4 linked regions of the Canis lupus familiaris genome follow. The protein of the gene in region 4 interacts with the protein of the main gene of each other region in a biochemical or structural test. Links are inferred from orthologs where the notes say so. Each region holds a gene or a part of one and is shown on either strand. Other genes may lie near its edges.

Region 1 (4,353 bases), on a different chromosome or scaffold from region 4:
AGGTGTCTAGCACGTCGTGTCTCAAAGTTGTTTTGACGTTGCTGCAAGGAAACTATTAATACATCCTCGAAATAGATGAGCAAGGCGGGGTCCTCAGAATTTCCCCAAGCCCCACATATACCCCCTCCTCTCAAGGGACAACAGCAGAAGAGCCGAGGCGGAGGGCTTTAAAGCCATTAACACCATAATCCCTCAAATCAGGTTAGATTACCTGGGTTGACTCTCCCATTTTCTTCTGAGTCCCTATAATGTGTGTCTGTTTTCATTGGCTTATTAGTACTGACCCATAAACCCTCTAAGACAGGACTCTACACATTACCAAAGGGCTCATTTCACACCTCTTTAAACCGGGGCTTCCTGAACTGGGTCTACATGGGTGGGAGTCCATGAAATGATGGTGTACGTGCGTTTTTCTGGAAGAATCTGCGGCTTTCATCACTCTCAAAGGGATTCATCACTTGAAAAGTAAGACTATCTTACACATGAAATTTTAAACGCTAATTTAAACTTCAACTGCCATACAATTTTTTCCAGAAACAAGGCGGAAACATTTTCTAAAACAAGGCACACCATTATTTAGCAGCACAGAGCCCGAAGCCAGGTAGGAGGTCCACCAGGACAGATACATTCTTGTCCCACAAAGTCCCACTGAGAAAGAAAGAAAAATAGTCCCAGGAGATGTTACCAAATGGCATCGAAGTGTTTTTCCAGGCCTAGGACTGGCTTGCACTCAAGAGAGACTACAAAATGGGAACAATGTGAGGTTTCTCTGATTAGAAGATAACAGAGTCCAAGTTCACATGGTTCCATTTGTCTTCCTCCTCCCAAATATCACAACTTTCTTCACTGGGGAGGGTAAGTGGGAAAGAGGACTGGTACCAGGGAAGAGAAGTACAGCTCAGAGGGGCACCAAGGTGGCTCAGTTGGTTAAGTGGCGGACCCTCAGTCTCTGCTCAGGTCATGATCTCAGGGTTCTCATGGGACTCTGAGCTCAGCCCTGAGTCTGCTTGTGGCTTCTCTCTTTCTCTCCCCGTCTGATCCTCCCCCTGCGCTTGCACGGACTCTCTCTAAAATAAATAAACCGGGGATCCCTGGGTGGCGCAGCGGTTTAGCGCCTGCCTTTGGCCCGGGGCGCGATCCTGGAGACCCGGGATCGAATCCCACGTCAGGCTCCCGGTGCATGGAGCCTGCTTCTCCCTCTGCCTGTGTCTCTGCCTCTCTCTCTCTCACTGTGTGCCTATCATAAATAAATAAAAATTAAAAAATAAAAATAAAAAAAATAAATAAACCTTGACAGAGAGAGCGCCCATAAATAGGTGGAGCAGCAGGCAGAGGGAGAGGGAGAAGGAGAAGCAGGCTCCCTGCTGAACAGGGAACCTGATCCGGCCTTGATCCCAGGACCCTGGATCATGACCTGAGCCCAATGCAGATGCTTAACTGACTGAGCCACCCAGGTGTCCCTAAAACAAATAAATCTTAAAAACAAATATAGTTAAGAGGTACAGCTCAGAGAAAAACAGCTCATTACCAGGAACAGGCTGGGCTGGCAGACCCTGAGCAGGGACGATGGAGGGAACGTCAGCACTCTGAAGCCCGGGGCACCCCTGGCTTTCTCCTGACTCATCAAGCATTCCTGGGTGCTGGCCCTGGCAGCCTACAAGGCTCTGATCCCACTGAAGTCTCTTCCAGGGACTCAGACTCCTCGTAAGCACCTCCCGCCTTAAAGAGAATTTCAGCGTCAGCCTAGCTGAACCGAGGCTGGATGGTCTAATTCCCGGTGCCCAAGGAGCAAGAGAGAAGCCACAGAGAAGTTCAGAGACCAGAGCAAAGAGGACAGAACTGACGGGCGGGGGGCGGGGGAAGGTGAGGGAGGGGGTGAGGGGTATGGAGAGAGGCGGGGAGACCTCTGCTCAGGGAAGTGATCCAAGTCAACAGGCACTGGAGAGAAAGACGCAAGGACAGACATTGTGCCAGGAAATGTGTTCGCCATTTGACAAACATTATCTATCTAACTGCACCTCTGGGCCTCAGTCTCTCATCTGGAAACTCGGCAGTTCTGGAATATACCAGAAGGCTATGTACTGGTAGTCAAGCCTTTTGACTTTATTTAAACAGAATTAAGATTTTTCATGAGAGACACAAAGAGAGAGAGAGGCAGAGACACAGGCAGAGGGAGAAGCAGGCTGGATGGGAGACTCGATCCCCGGACCCCAGGATCACGCCCCGGGCTGAAGGTGGCGCTAAACCGCTGAGCCAGCGGGGCTGCCGGCCTTTTGACTTTAAAGACGCCTTTCCTGGAATCCCGTCTGTGTCATATACAGCCCTGTGATCTCTGGCAAGTCACCTAACCTCTCCGTGCCTCAGTTTCCCTGCATGTAAAACGTGCAGACCAGCATGATCTAAGCGCTGCGCCGCACTTACACGTTAAGGCAGAAGAGCACAGCCTGGCGCGTAGGAACGTAGTAAACACTCAGTAAGTAGCAATTATTTTTGTCTAAGGCTCTTCCCACCCCGTGAAGTCATCGACTCTGGGAAAGGGGCTCAAGAGCGACCCCGGGGCCCACCTGTCTGCCCAGCCGCCGCCCCCCCGCGCCAGCCCACAGCTAACCGCGACGTCCCAGCCGCTCCGCCGACCCACCCTCGGCCTCCGGCCCCGCCTCCAGCCGTTAACCCCCCCCCCGCACCCCGTCGGTTTACCTTCACCGGTTCATCCCCGGCCGCCCACCGCCCACGCCCCCCCCCCCATCGTTTTTCCAGGATCCTTCCGCCGTGTTTTCACCTCTCGGTGTTGTTGACGATCACTCCGCCGCCCTCCGAGTGGTTCTTGTTGAGCGCCATAGTCTCTCGGAAAAGGGTCCCGAGACTCTCAACGCAGTGCGCCTGCGCCCCTCCACGGCCCGCCCCTAGTGGCGTCGTTCGTATTAGAGCCAGCCAATCACAGCTCTTGTGCGGAGCCTGGTCCAACCACCTGATCTCGAGCGTCACGTGGTAATAGTTTACTCACTCCCCCTCCCGTTTCGCCTGCATCACAAACAAGCTGAAGACTACAATTCCCAGAAGGCCATGCTCCCTCAATCGGCTTTTCTCTACGTTAGCGGAAGGATGCACTCTGGAACTTGTAGTCTTCCAGGCCGGATTGACTGCCCCAGTTGCATAACTAATCGGCCTGCGCATTACGCACAGCCCTTCGTATCTTCCAAGGGACCGGAATAAACAGTTGGACACGTCACAGGGGTATTACTCGGAAAGGCCTTGAGCACAAAAGTGAATACTCACAGAATGAGGGGGCGGCGGTGGGAATCTAAACCGGGTGTGGGGAATGCTGAGCAGTCACTTGCTAGGGCATCTTTATTTGTGAAACACTGAGTCTACATGACTTTGCCCCTGATCCGGGTGGTCACTGTAGCCGTGTAGATGAGCGCAAGACCCGGGTCCAGGACGGGGCGGGCTGCCAGAGCATCCCTGTCGTGAAGTCAGACCCGGACCCTCGGAGGTTGGGGGTGAGACTGTCCGGTGGCCCGACCTGACCCCTGCACCAAATACCAGGGTCCGGTGGGGAGCGCCTCTACCTTCAGCCCCGCAGGCCTCGCGGTGGCCCTGCTCCCTCTAGAACGATCTGGCTTCGGTCAGGCCCGCCCGGGAGCTTTCCAGCTGTAAGATTTCAACAAGACTCACAGTCATTGAAAGGACCTAGGAGCCCGGACAAGGCAAGTCCGGCAGCCCCATTATGTGGTTTATGAAATACAGCTGAGTCATTTCAGCTTGGGCCCCAGCACTGGGCGGCGCCCTTGGGCAGCTGTAGTAATTATGTATCTCCACGTCCGAGGTAGTTCTTTTTTTATTATTTTTATTTTTTTATTTATTCATGAGAGACAGAGAGAGACAGGCAGGTTCCCTGCGGGGAGCCTGATACAGGACTCGATCCCAGGACCCCGGGATCAAGACCTGAGCCAAAGGCACATGCTCAGCCACTGAACCACCCAGGAGACCCTGAGGTGGATCTTCCAGGGGAGGAAAGAAGGGTGTCACTCCCCACGTGGTGGTGCTGGTGCATCATTAATCTTAAAGGATCGGAAGTTTGAGTTTAAGCAGTACAGCTGATTCCCTGACATGTGATGGCCAACCTGGGGACCCACCTGCCTGACTTATCTTTTAGAGTTTCCTAGGTGAGGGATCAACACCCAGAAAAGATGAAACATGTAACAGCCTTCTGGGAAGTCTTAAGCACAAGCAGGTGGGGCCTTGCAGGACGAGTGCAATAAATTACTGCACGATGGACGTGATCTGCTCCAGTAGTTAAATTAATTTTGGCTCGCGAAGTCTATGCAGCTTTTTTTAAAATTTTTTATTTAT
Region 2 (4,145 bases), on a different chromosome or scaffold from region 4:
GCAGGTGGAGTGGTGAGGACCCAGACTGACAGGACCCTGGCAATGCGGGATGGACAGGGCTGCTTACCCAGGACACCACCCTCCCGTTGAAGCAGGGAAGGCGGGCGTTGTCATCTGAAATCTCCTCCTTCACCACCCTGCCAGGAGGGACAACACAAGAACCAGTGAGATCGCCCTAGCGCCCCCCACACGCACCCCGACTCGAGGCTTCTCATCTTCGTCCAGCTCAAGGACGATGACTTTCATGCAGCCGGCCAGGCCCTCTTCCCCAACACCGAGACACTTCACTCTCATGCCCCGGGAGTCTCCAAATTCACTCACCCCCTTTCCTTCCTCCTCCTCCTCTCCCCAGCTCATCCTCGGCTTTCAATGCTGGTCCAAAGATTTCCTATGCTGGTCCAAAGATTTCCTAGAGTCTGAGTCAAACCTCATTCTCCAATCTCAACGACCGTCCCACTCCCTCAGGTGACCCCAACTGCCCCAAAGATCTCTAACCTTTGGTGTCTCTAACAGCCCAGAATGACCCCAAACCTCCCTGAGCCCTACCCCGCTCCTCAAGGCACCGTCCCCAAACCCTCCAAAGTCTCTATTCTCATGCTTTCTTGGTTTTCTCTGAGTCATGTCCAAAGCCCTAGCCCAACATGCTACCTTTCCCCCACGAAAATATACCCATGAGACCCAAGGATGACACCTACTGGCTAGGCTGAGCACTCCCAAGGAGAGGTGAAGCCCACCTTCCCCTTCCCCCGGGGCTCATCTGGCACAAAATTCTACACTGAGCAACCTGTTCTGCCTGACGGACCTCAAAGCCCAGCCTTGGGGTCATTCCTCCCCTGGGTTCCTTGGGATGGACAGGACTTTGCCCCTTCTTCTCAACCACCACGTGGGATCACCACAGCCTATTCTTTTTTTTTCTTTTTTCTTTTTTTTTTTTTTTAATTTTTATTTATTTATGATAGTCACAGAGAGAGAGAGAGAGAGAGGCAGAGACATAGGCAGAGGGAGAAGCAGGCTCCATGCACCGGGAGCCTGATGTGGGATTCGATCCCGGGTCTCCAGGATCGCGCCCTGGGCCAAAGGCAGGCGCCAAACCGCTGCGCCACCCAGGGATCCCACCACAGCCTATTCTGTTCAACACTGCATCCTGGCCACACAGCAAAGACCCTGATGGTGGTAAAGTGAATGTTAATAAATATCTGTTCAATACTGTTAACGAGTATACTTGTTGAACAAGTATCTCATGAACAAACACGAGCTCTGAGAGACTGAGTATTGAACAGAAGGTCTCTCTCATACTCACATCCTCACCTCCAAATTAGGACAGCCTGTCTGATTAACCCTTTACCCTAATATGGTTCTAGGAGCCTGGATGCGTGACAACTTAATCCCACTTGTTATCGATAGGGCCACTCAGCCCAATCCCTACCACTGCTCTGTCTCGATATAATGCTGGATTCTTAGAGATGTAACCCAGTCCCGGCGGAGCCCAGCCCGGCAAATGATTCCACTCTCTATCACCATAACCCCGTTTACAGATTAGCTGAGCTCGACGCTAGCGATCATCACAACTCGCTAAAAAATTACTGTGCATCGCTTACCTATACGAAGTTTCTTGTGCCAACTGTGTCTATCTCCTGGGTCATATCATTGCTAACAAACAGGAATTTCGATCTAAATCAAAGGTAACTCCCAACACAGTCCCACCTTCCTCACGGCCAACGGTCTTTCTCAGTAGAAGCCAGTCCATTCAGCTATCCCAGAACATGGGCTGTCTCAGGCCAATCCAGCCTGCCTTCAAGAGCTGAGGCTGGCTACCTGGAGAACTCAGCCTCAAAAACCATAAGCAAATTTATTATTAAGAATCCAAGTCTGGCCCAGAATGACTCCAAACACTCCAGAATAGCCATATTGGGCTATTTTAGCAATGACCTACAACGTCTCCACACGCAGCCGTCCATACCAATATAGACCAGATTATCCCAATACAGCTGTCTGCACTGGCATAGCCTCAAAAACCTTGTCTGCCTCTCTACAGAGCGTCCCCATGAAACACTTGACCCCAACAGAAACTTAAGATCAACCAACACAACCCAGAAGAGACAGAAGAGCAGGAAATTCTTCCGAGAGAGCCTGGTAATCTGCTCCAAAGCAGCCTAGAACATCCCAACACACCCTTTTCTGCACCAGAACAGGCCAGATGTCCCCAAACAATCTTATCTGCTCTAGGATGGTCTAGAATGCCCTAAAGCACCCCAACACGGCCCAATCATCGGGAGATTCCACAATACTGCCCGTGGGCCGCAGGACTGCTCGAAAGGCATCGGATTACCCAGAATAACTCCCAAATAAACCAGTGTGCCCCATTCTATTCCAGGACAGCCTAATCTTTCCTGATCTGGTTCGGCACGGCCCGGTGTGTCGTCCTGGAGCTCCGTGCGTCTCGATTTGTCCAAGCGTAACCTTACCCAACCTGGGATGCCCAATCTAACCCCCGCATAATGCCCTGTCCAGCACTCCAGCCCAGAAAAACCCAGCGTGGCCTAGGGCCGACCTGTGCCCCTCAGCAGTGGCCGATCCACCGCCGCGCAGCCCCCACCGGTTCCAGCCTAGGCCTCGCGCTCACCCGAAATCCTGATCCATAGACTTGAAAAAGTACTTAGCGCCCGCGGGCCGCTGCAGGACGCTCTTGAAATCACCGAGGGTGATGCGCTCCGCCGGAACCGGGATCTTCACCAGGTAGGGAGTCTCCTCCTCATCCAGGTGGTAAATCACCTTCGTCTCCCCGACGCCGCCGCCCCCCGCGCCGCTGCCCGCCATGGTCTCGCCCGCGCGCTCCCAGGTCCCGCCGCCCACCCAACCGGGCGAAGCGCCCCCACCGCGCCTGCGCACACCCGCACCCCGCCGCGCGAGCGCGGACACGATCAGCCGGGCGCCGGAAAGGCGCGGCGGGAAGGCGGCGGGGATCAGCGGGGTGGCGGCCGACGGAAGGGAAGGGGGCGGGCCGGAGGGCTCGACCCGATGCCGCAGACTCGGCCGCCGTCGCCGCCGCCACCGCGCGCCACCGCCGCCGACGTCGCGGGCGCCCTGCAGCACCCCGCCCACCTCTCCCCATGTCACGTGGTCCGCGGCGGCCCGCCCTCCGTCACGTGACTCCACCGACCACGTGACCTACAGGCTCCGCCCAGTGCCAGCGCCACGTGATCATTGCTTTCAGCAACGGTCTCCTAGCCCTCGACGGCCCCGCCCCCAAATGTGTCCCCACCCGCGTCCTCCGAGCACCCCGGCGGAGGCCGGCACTGGCCTTCGGGGGGCCTGGCCACCGGTACCCATCCCGTTTGGCCCCACTCGGGCGGAGAGCTCCAAACAACGCTGATTCCCTGGAGCGTGCGTGTTGGGAGATAGGATGGGGGTCCTGGGCTGGGGTGCCCGGTGGAAGCAAGCCGACTGAGGGCCAGGCTGGGGGCGGGGGTCTGGGGAGCTGGGGGGTGGGGGCGCGCAGAGCCGGGTGGTTTTCTGCTCTGGAGGTGGGCTTCAGCCCCCCGCGCCTTCTGCTTTTCCACCGCGCCCCCACCCAAGCAGGACAGTCAGGGAGGGCTATAAACACAAAAGAGCCCACTCTGCTTTATTTACAACACGCAGGCTGTCTGTACAAACAGCTGGCCAATATTATTAAAAACAAAAGAGGTGAGCGAACATATCGTCACCTGTTTTCCTTCCTCCCTTGGCCAGACCCTGGTTGGTACTCCACCTCCGAGCTGCCCTGCCCAAAAGGGGAAGTCCAAAATTAAAAATACAACCGGTGTAGAATAAATGGGGAGATAAAAGAAAAGATGAAGAAGGGGAGTGCTCTATTTACACTAGAGTTTTATAGCCAGCTGTCCCATTCCACCCCAATTCCAACCCTGGCCCAGAAAGCGAAGGGTGGCAGGTCTAAGGAACAGAAATTATGTGTCTAGGGACCAGCCTCTCACCCCCAACTGCAGCAGGTCCATATTCAAGTCCACAAGGCGGGAAGGAAAGATAAGGTTGGAACGTGAGACACTCCTTTCCAAACCAGCCTCCAGTGGGAATTCCTGCCTCCCAGTGGGACAATACCCAAGCTCCAGGGGGACGGGCCGAAGACCCGGAGGCTCAGCTCCCAAGTC
Region 3 (3,560 bases), on a different chromosome or scaffold from region 4:
AAGGCCATTCAGATATGCTCTGACTACATCCCTGCAATAAGCAGTTGATTACAGTGTGATATGCAATTGCACTCTTTTTATTAGGAGACTTTAACCTCATAAAAAAACATGTTCCCTCCTTCCTTTCCTATCTCCCATTTCAAGGACTTTCAAAGAAGAAAAAAACTAGTTAAAATGCTTCAATTTTATTTCCATTCCCATTAGTCAAAATTCAGGTAAAAGCCCAATTTCAATGTTTCTTTCTCTAATAGAATATTAATTCTATAACTGGCTATTTTAGTATTTCTATATGGAATATTTTCTTGGCCATCATGTGCATTTTGAAAACTTTAGACGGAGTTTACTATATATACTTAATGGTTGTTTAACTGTAAATATAATGCCTACTTTGAGCTGCTTATGTAGGATCTTGCGTTTCATATAATCACTTTGTCTATATCTAAAAACTTCAGGCCAAAACCATCCATTCATTTTAATACATGAGCTGTCTTTTCTTTAAAAGCAGTTTCTCAGAAAGTCCTGGAATCTACCACTGTCACCAGCACTATTTAGATTTTAATAAGTAGTGTTTATCACTGAGATATCAAGTAATACTTCCTTACATGCATACAAAATGTCTGCAGCCATATTCCTCCTAGTGTTCTATCTCAGCACTGACCTTTGTTCAAAGGCTTTTACTTTTTAATGCAGCAGTTAGAGATAACTACTTCATTTATCAAAACTCAATTTCCATAGTAACATCTAGCCTGGGGAGATTCAAGTCCTCACACTAATCCAACAACCCATTCAAAGGAACTGTTGAATACTTTGGTTTCCATAGCAATGATGGAATAAAACATTTTGCTAGGTCATTGCTTTTATTAGCAAACTTATTCTTTGAACTTTAGGTAAGGCTGAATTTACTGAGAGAGAAAAAAACACAATCATTTTGTGTAAGTTCTTTCCTTTAGGGCTGGTCTTTTAAGAAAATCCCAAATAGTAACCATCTATATATTTTGAAAATATTTTGGGTGTTTGGGAGCTTTTTAAGCATGCCATGTGGTTTTGTCCTAAAATGGTTTCAAATATATATTTTTAAAATTAAAAAGCATTTAAAAGTGAATGTACAGACCTGACAAAATAAACATTTGTAAAATTAAAGTGACTCTACCTAAAAGCACATTCTAAACAAAGATGAAATGTAAACTAGAATGAAGATAGTCTCAAATACGTCAAAATCTGGGCTGGCACAGGGTATAGAGTAACTTTTAAACCACAACCCCATCTTTGCCTGATTTAATACTCTGCAATTTCGTCCCTACCTTTCATCAGCCACATAAAACATGCTAAATAGAGATGTTAGGTTAAAGGTAAAATTAAAGATAATGTATTAAGCAGTCATGCTTTACATGCTAAATGGAAAAGTTTTAGCATTTAATATACCTTACAGCAGCCAAGGGATTTGTTATGGAAGGAAAAAAATGAGTTACATTTTTATATTCCTTCAAGATAGGAATTGCAGTGCCATTAAAGTTTTAAAATCCATTAGTAAACATTGTTGTTTACGTTTTTGGGTAATTCATTCTATGTGAGGTGACAGGGCAAGGCCTTGGTAAGGGAACATCAGCCTTCCTGGAACCAGACTTTTTCGTTGAACTGCATTTTGAGCCAAGCCAGTGCTGAAAAGGTAGGCCATTAAAAAATAAAGGTTGACAGAAGAAAGAAGAGATCAAACACGTGTTGGCTTTTAAAAGGATGAATACCACTTACACTATTTACACAACTCACAGAATTAACAAGAAAATTACATACCAGTATGAGTCCTCAGGTGAGCTTTTAAATGAGAAGACTTTGTATAAACTTTTGTGCAGCCTGAAATAATGGAGAGGAAGAACAGCTTGTCATTTTGGAGATCCTTTTGAAATCTTTACATTTGATGATTCAGTGTTTAAAATCTGGCTCTAAAGAAGAAATCTCTCATGCTAGTGAGATATTTATTTGAAGCGTCAGTTTTAAAGACTGCTCCCCTGTTACCTTATTAAAGGTATAAAGTGATTTACTTTATGTACCACTTTAGCAGAAAAAGCAGATAAACAAGCTACAAATGGAAAATGTATGTTTATATTCCAGTAGGTGCTTTATACTAGTAACATACTTCAGTGATTTAAAAACTTTTAATGGCTCTCGAGCTGACAGTGTTAAACCATTATCCAAGATGACTGCAATTTTCTGTGCTACTACATTTGTTTTTTCATTTAGTATATCACGCTGTATCAATTACATCCTGTATTAATCATAAACTAGCTTATGCCAGCAGCTTGTAGACTAAGTCATCACCATCATCAATTTAGATTTTGAGCCGCATCTCACTGAAGAATGAACATATGTTCATACGCCATCACAACTATCCTTAAATCTATTCTGTACACAGTCTTGTAACCCACCATCATGAAAGCAGCCTACTCAATCCCCATTTCATTACCACACCTTATTTTCCCTACCTTACCTTATCTCTTTTCAGGGCACTCAATTTAGAATTAAGACGCCAATTTAGGTGTTTAAGTAACTCTGACATAACTCAAAATTTGAATTTACATGCTACATTAAAAATAAAGAAGTCCAAGGTAACTTTTTTCCAGTATATTCTAGCCATTTTTTAAATACATACAACCATAATAGACAAACACAAAGTTATATCCCAGGGTACAGTACAGAGACTGAGATATGAAAAGGACAAAGTGGGTGATTTTTTTCATTGTCAAGTACCACTTTCCTATGCAAACTGAAAACCTGGTTTAAAAAGGTATGTGCACACACACACAGACACTAAATACAGGTACTGATGCTTTAACCGGGTTATATCACGTACCAGGGTAATCGCAGTAGTGGATGCGTCGTTTCTCCAAATCGGGGTTACTCCTTCTATTGTATCTGACAGGCTGGATGCTTTGTGAATTAACTGGCAGGGTGGCAGGTAAATTTGGATTGTGAATTGCCAGTTTGGAAGCAATTGTAGCAGCATAGGATGGAGGTGGGGTCAAATTCTGGAGCATCTCTGCTTGTCTATCTGGACTTCCCGGCTCTGAGCTTGGTGGTGACGGGGGAAAGTAAGTGGCCTGCTGTGGAAGAAACTGACTTGGCATTGTGTATGTGCAAGGGGGCATGCCCTGGAACTGTTTCATTGCAGTCTGCGGAACAGCAGAGGTGTGTGTGTTAAGGCCCGCCATGGCGGCGGACATAGAGACATTAAGAGTGTCCATCACTGCTGTCTGGTTTGTAGAACTGGGCATATCTAGATCCGGTGTGTTCAGCAGCTGGTACAGGTGGCCCTGCTGGGGAGGGACAGAAAGATGAAGATCTGGTGTAGGAAGTTCTTGTTTGATGAAAATATTGTTCACCTCTGGAGCTGCGGTCTGGTGTGAGCTGAATATACTGGTGAACTCGGGGAGGGCCTGGGTCGGGGCCGGAGGAGGGGCTGTCGTTTCACTCTGGTGGCTGAAAATGGTAACAGGTTCTGTCTTGATGTGTGTTACGCACGGTCTCTGGGATTTGTAGAGGCCAGTTCTCAGGTGAGTGATGTC
Region 4 (4,195 bases):
TGGGCCCTGGTATCAATTCGGAGTGTAGAAACTAATGGAAGGGAGAGGAAGAGAAGGTACATTCCTTCAATCAGAGTTATTATTTAATCTTACAATTCTTCACGGGGCGTTGATGCTCTTCTTGGTACATAGCTTTTTCAAGAGCTTAATTAGGATGGAAAAAGAGGGAGAACTAGAGAGAGGTTTTAAAGCCGAGGAGAAATTTAGGACAGAACATAATTAAAACATCATCATGCTGAGGGGGCACAGGAGGGAATGGACAGTAACGAGGTCCTCTTTGGAGAGAAGCAGACACCCAGCCTTGGAGTCAGAAGGAAAACCAATAGGCTCGGGTGTGGATGTAGGTAATTTATGGGGCGTGGGTGAGGCGGGTGGGCCAAAATTGTAGAAACCCATGCTTGATGGCCTTTCTCATTTCTGAAGTAGAAGACCAGTCATCTGGTGAGTAATGTGGTCACCAATGACTTCTATTTGCAGGGCGGTCTTCTAAAAGCAACGCACAGAACCAACAGAACTTCTAGAGACTTAGTTAACTCGTTTTTATAAATGGGGAGAATGTACTCTTTTTCATGGCGGCACCGTGCGAATTTGCTGCACCGACACCTGTGCCTGCTCAGTACCAGTTTTATCACCGTAGCGTTATGGGGGCGAACGTTTTGGTGACTAATGAGAGTAAAGTGGAAGTCTTCTGTGGCCACCTGTCAAATGCAGGATTTACTCTTGCAGTGGGGTTCTAGGTCAGATGCTCAGGTCAAGGAGTATTTATTAAAAACAGCCTACTTTTGCAGTAAAGCACTCGAGATGAGAAGGCCAGCGCCGGGGGCCCTGACCCGAGGTCGCTCACCCGCGCTGTCCCAGTCCCGGACGGACGGGGAAGCCAGGTCAGCAGCAGCCACCTCGCGCTCAGAGGCCTCTTCCCAAATCTCAGCGGTGGCCCCGCCCCCTCCACAGGTTTGGGCCCCGCCCCCCTCCTCCCATTGGCTGGCCCTCGGCTCTCCTCGAGCGCGCTCCGCAGCCCCGGAGGAGCGGAGTTTTCCGAAAGCATCCTCGCGGGGGCGCCCTCGCTGCGCATGCTCGCGGGAAGCCCGGGTTCCGGGTCCCGGCGTGGGGGGAGGGGGGCTCTGAGGCGGCCGCGGCGCAGGCGCGCGCTCGCGGCGCGGCGCCGGTGACGCGAGCACGCGGCGCGCTCCTGAGGCGGGAGGTGTGGGGTCTGCCGGGGGCGGCGCGCGGCCGGGGTGGGGGTGGGGGGAGGGTCGGGTGTCGCCGAGCGCGGCGCGGCGAGCGGGTTCCAAGTGGCTGCAGGCGGCCTGGGCTGCCGGGGCCGACGCCTGGGTGGCTGCCGCCGCCGCCGCCGCCGCCGCCGCCGCCGCCGCCGCGCCTGCTGCGAGATGGCGATCTTGGGCGCGGAAGGGTGAGGGCGCCCCGCCGCTGGAGTGGCCGCCCGACCGCCGGGAGCCGACGGCTTTGCGCCGGGTAAGGACGCCGCGGCGGGGGGCGGGGGGCGGGGGGCGCGGGGGGGCGGGCGCGGCGGCCCCCGGGCCGGAGCCTCTGAGGGGCGGCCGCCGACCGTCCGCGCCGCGCCGGCCGCCCCCCCCGGCCCGGGGGCCCCGGAGTTTTCTGGGGTGGGGTCACGGGGCTTGCCCCGCGTTGGCCCCGGCGCAGGCCCGAGCTGAGGATCCCGGAGGAGCCCAGGGTCTCCGTGACTCTGCAGCCGCCGTCCTGAGGCTCCCTCAGCCTCCCCTCAGCGTTCCGTCCGCCTCCTCGTCCTCCCCCCGCAGCGCCCCTCCGAAGCCATCCCCGCGCGTGGACTTGCACCGCTGCCCTGACTTTCACCGCAAGACTCCCGGCCGTACAAAAAGGCGTTTTTATTTTCCTGACGTGTTTTGATCCCTCCGGGTTCTTCCCTGACTCTGCAGTCCCCCCCCCCCCCCACACACACACCCCAACACAACCCCCACCTCCACCTTTGTGTGACCTGGTAGGTCCCAGTGACCTTGCAGTTTTTACTCCTTATCTCCTCAGTGACCTGGACCTTCTCCTTTCATCTTTAAAAAAAAAAAAAAAAAAGGTTTTAATTTTGTAGTTTGTCCATTGTTTTTTTTTGTTTTGTTTTTTTGTTTTTTTGTTTTTTTTACAACCTCCGAAGGATCCTCAGTCCTTCCTTGACTCCATCGTCTGGAGTTAGTTGAGCGTCCTTTGCTTCCGTAATTACAGGGAAACCTTTCCTACCCAAGACGAGTGTCTTTTATTTTGACATTCTTACTCTTCCAGGATAAAATATTTTCCAGGGGCTTGGTGTGACTTTTTCTGCTTGGTGAGTTTTTATCTTTTTTGTGTGTGTGTAGGCTACTGTGCAAAAAAAAAAAAAAAAAGATTTTGAGTTTCGGCTTTAAAAAGCTACTGGTCAGAGTGGAAAATAATGTCCAAAGTTCTCTTTTTCTCCCCCTTTGGTGTTTTTTTTTTTTTTTTTTTAACCTGAAGTACCTGCTGTACAATGTATGCGGGTTTCTGCAAGCACTCATCCTTCTGTAGGAATCCAGTTGACCTGTCTCCTAAGGCTCTGTGGATGATACAAGCAAAATGCACCTTTAAAAAATAAAAATAAAGGCATTCTCTTACGTGACTTTGCTTTGGCTGTAAGGTAGATACTAGTTGGGACTGCAAATTATCACTTCTCGTAAACAGTTAATATTTTTTGAACTGAAAAATTCCTGGCCGAGTGTTGGGAGCTACTCACACTGAGAAGTGTAAAAAGTATGTAGAATAGTTACTTGGTATGTAGCTTATTGATGTTTTCACGTAGCTTTTCCCTTAAAATACAGAACTGTTTATAAGACATCTAACGCCAAGACTTAAAGGGCAGTGGGGTTATGTTTTTTAGAATCCTGGTATGATAGAGGATGTCACAAATAAGTTCTCTGCCTTCAGAGAGATAGTGATCTTTGCTTTTTGCCCCAGGAAGGCTGAAATTTCCTTCACTTCCTTGCACAATTATTAAGCATCTCCTGCATGATTGTGTGAGGTAGATGGAGTAATATGGAGTACAGCAGTTTCTGCCTTCCCAGAATAGTTAGGCAGGTAGGACTATCACAAATGCCTCCTTTATCTTTTAATACATCCTTACGTTTCATATAGAATTCAAATTCAGAAGAGGAAGAGCTCACATCTTACTTGGCAAGGTGAGGTAAGGAGGGTTAATCCATAGAGCTTCTGGCTTTTGAAATCTTTGTTTTGAAGGGTGACTGAGACTTTTGATAAACCAAGAAAAGTAATCCAAGCAGAGAAAAGGGACTAAGAAATTAGAGCACAGAGTTCATATGTTTGGGGAGAGGGAAACAATTATATTTGGGTGGAACATAAAGTATTTGTACTAACATAAAGGCTGATAAAACGAAGTAAAAGTTTGAACCGGTTTATGATTGCTTTTAAGGCTGGGCTAATGATCTTGGATATAATAGGTTTGAGGGGTTTTACAGATGATTTTTTGAGTTGCGAATGAAAAGCTTAAAATACTGTTTTCAGAGGATTAATTTAGCAGCAACGTGTACTGTGAATTGAAGTAGAAATCTGGAGGTAGAAAGACCTTGATTGCTGTGGTCATAGGTAATGAGGGTCTGAACTAAGGCTGGAATATTAGGAATGGAAAGGACAGAATTTGATGGTCAGAGAAAAAAATGAAGAAAGTAAAAATAACAGATTCTGACCCAGGTTGGGAAAATAATGGTACCATTTTGAACAGTATCCATGGAAGCTTTATCTTCGGCAGATGTATGTTACTTTACAGCAGTAATTATTAGCCTTTTGGTGATTGCTAATCCTTGGTGAAACTAAAAAAAATCTGGCATGGAAAATTTCCATATGCACCTGTGCTTTCTGTATATAATTTTAGGGAAGTCCATGAACTCACCTGAAGCTCACCTATGGAAGGGTCAGTAGGTTGGGCTAGGAGCAGCTCTCAGGATTACTGGAGGCTTTTTAAAACCATAGAATTTTCAAATTCTTCCATTTACTGATAACCCCTACTGTAGAGACTTACTTTATATACACTTAAATACAATATCTCTACTTTGTGTTGTGGTTTACAGTTTACCAAGAATTGGTACTGTTATTTGCTATTATATAACAGACTAGCCTAAGAGGTTAAATGATTTGCCCTGAGTGTTTCAGTTAGCAGGTGGGAAAAGTGGAATGACGA

Evidence for each region.
Region 1: of the proteins of WWP1 (region 4) and WBP2, one has a biochemical effect on the other in vitro, tested with the Homo sapiens proteins (2 studies listed by BioGRID, with this or other methods). The link is inferred for Canis lupus familiaris from reciprocal best matches to the Homo sapiens genes WWP1 and WBP2.
Region 2: the proteins of WWP1 (region 4) and DVL2 form a complex in vitro, tested with the Homo sapiens proteins (2 studies listed by BioGRID, with this or other methods). The link is inferred for Canis lupus familiaris from reciprocal best matches to the Homo sapiens genes WWP1 and DVL2.
Region 3: of the proteins of WWP1 (region 4) and KLF5, one has a biochemical effect on the other in vitro, tested with the Homo sapiens proteins (4 studies listed by BioGRID, with this or other methods). The link is inferred for Canis lupus familiaris from reciprocal best matches to the Homo sapiens genes WWP1 and KLF5.

What each region holds. Positions count from the first base shown.
Region 1 is NC_049230.1:5,622,737-5,627,089, reverse strand, and holds the start of WBP2 (WW domain-binding protein 2), read right to left. Parts: upstream 2,846-4,353; 5' UTR 2,839-2,845; coding exon 2,780-2,838; intron 2,739-2,779; exon of another isoform or gene 2,698-2,738; intron 2,554-2,697; exon of another isoform or gene 2,422-2,553; intron 1-2,421. UniProt on the Homo sapiens protein: Acts as a transcriptional coactivator of estrogen and progesterone receptors (ESR1 and PGR) upon hormone activation. In presence of estrogen, binds to ESR1-responsive promoters. Synergizes with YAP1 to enhance PGR activity.
Region 2 is NC_049226.1:32,405,932-32,410,076, forward strand, and holds the start of DVL2 (segment polarity protein dishevelled homolog DVL-2), read right to left. Parts: upstream 2,861-4,145; 5' UTR 2,818-2,860; coding exon 2,624-2,817; intron 2,536-2,623; exon of another isoform or gene 1,599-2,535; intron 923-1,598; exon of another isoform or gene 322-922; intron 138-321; coding exon 68-137; intron 1-67.
Region 3 is NC_049243.1:27,275,559-27,279,118, reverse strand, and holds part of KLF5 (Krueppel-like factor 5), read right to left. Parts: coding exon 2,849-3,560; intron 1,852-2,848; coding exon 1,792-1,851; intron 1-1,791. UniProt on the Homo sapiens protein: Transcription factor that binds to GC box promoter elements. Activates the transcription of these genes.
Region 4 is NC_049250.1:33,146,188-33,150,382, forward strand, and holds the start of WWP1 (NEDD4-like E3 ubiquitin-protein ligase WWP1), read left to right. Parts: upstream 1-1,344; 5' UTR 1,345-1,473; intron 1,474-4,195. UniProt on the Homo sapiens protein: E3 ubiquitin-protein ligase which accepts ubiquitin from an E2 ubiquitin-conjugating enzyme in the form of a thioester and then directly transfers the ubiquitin to targeted substrates.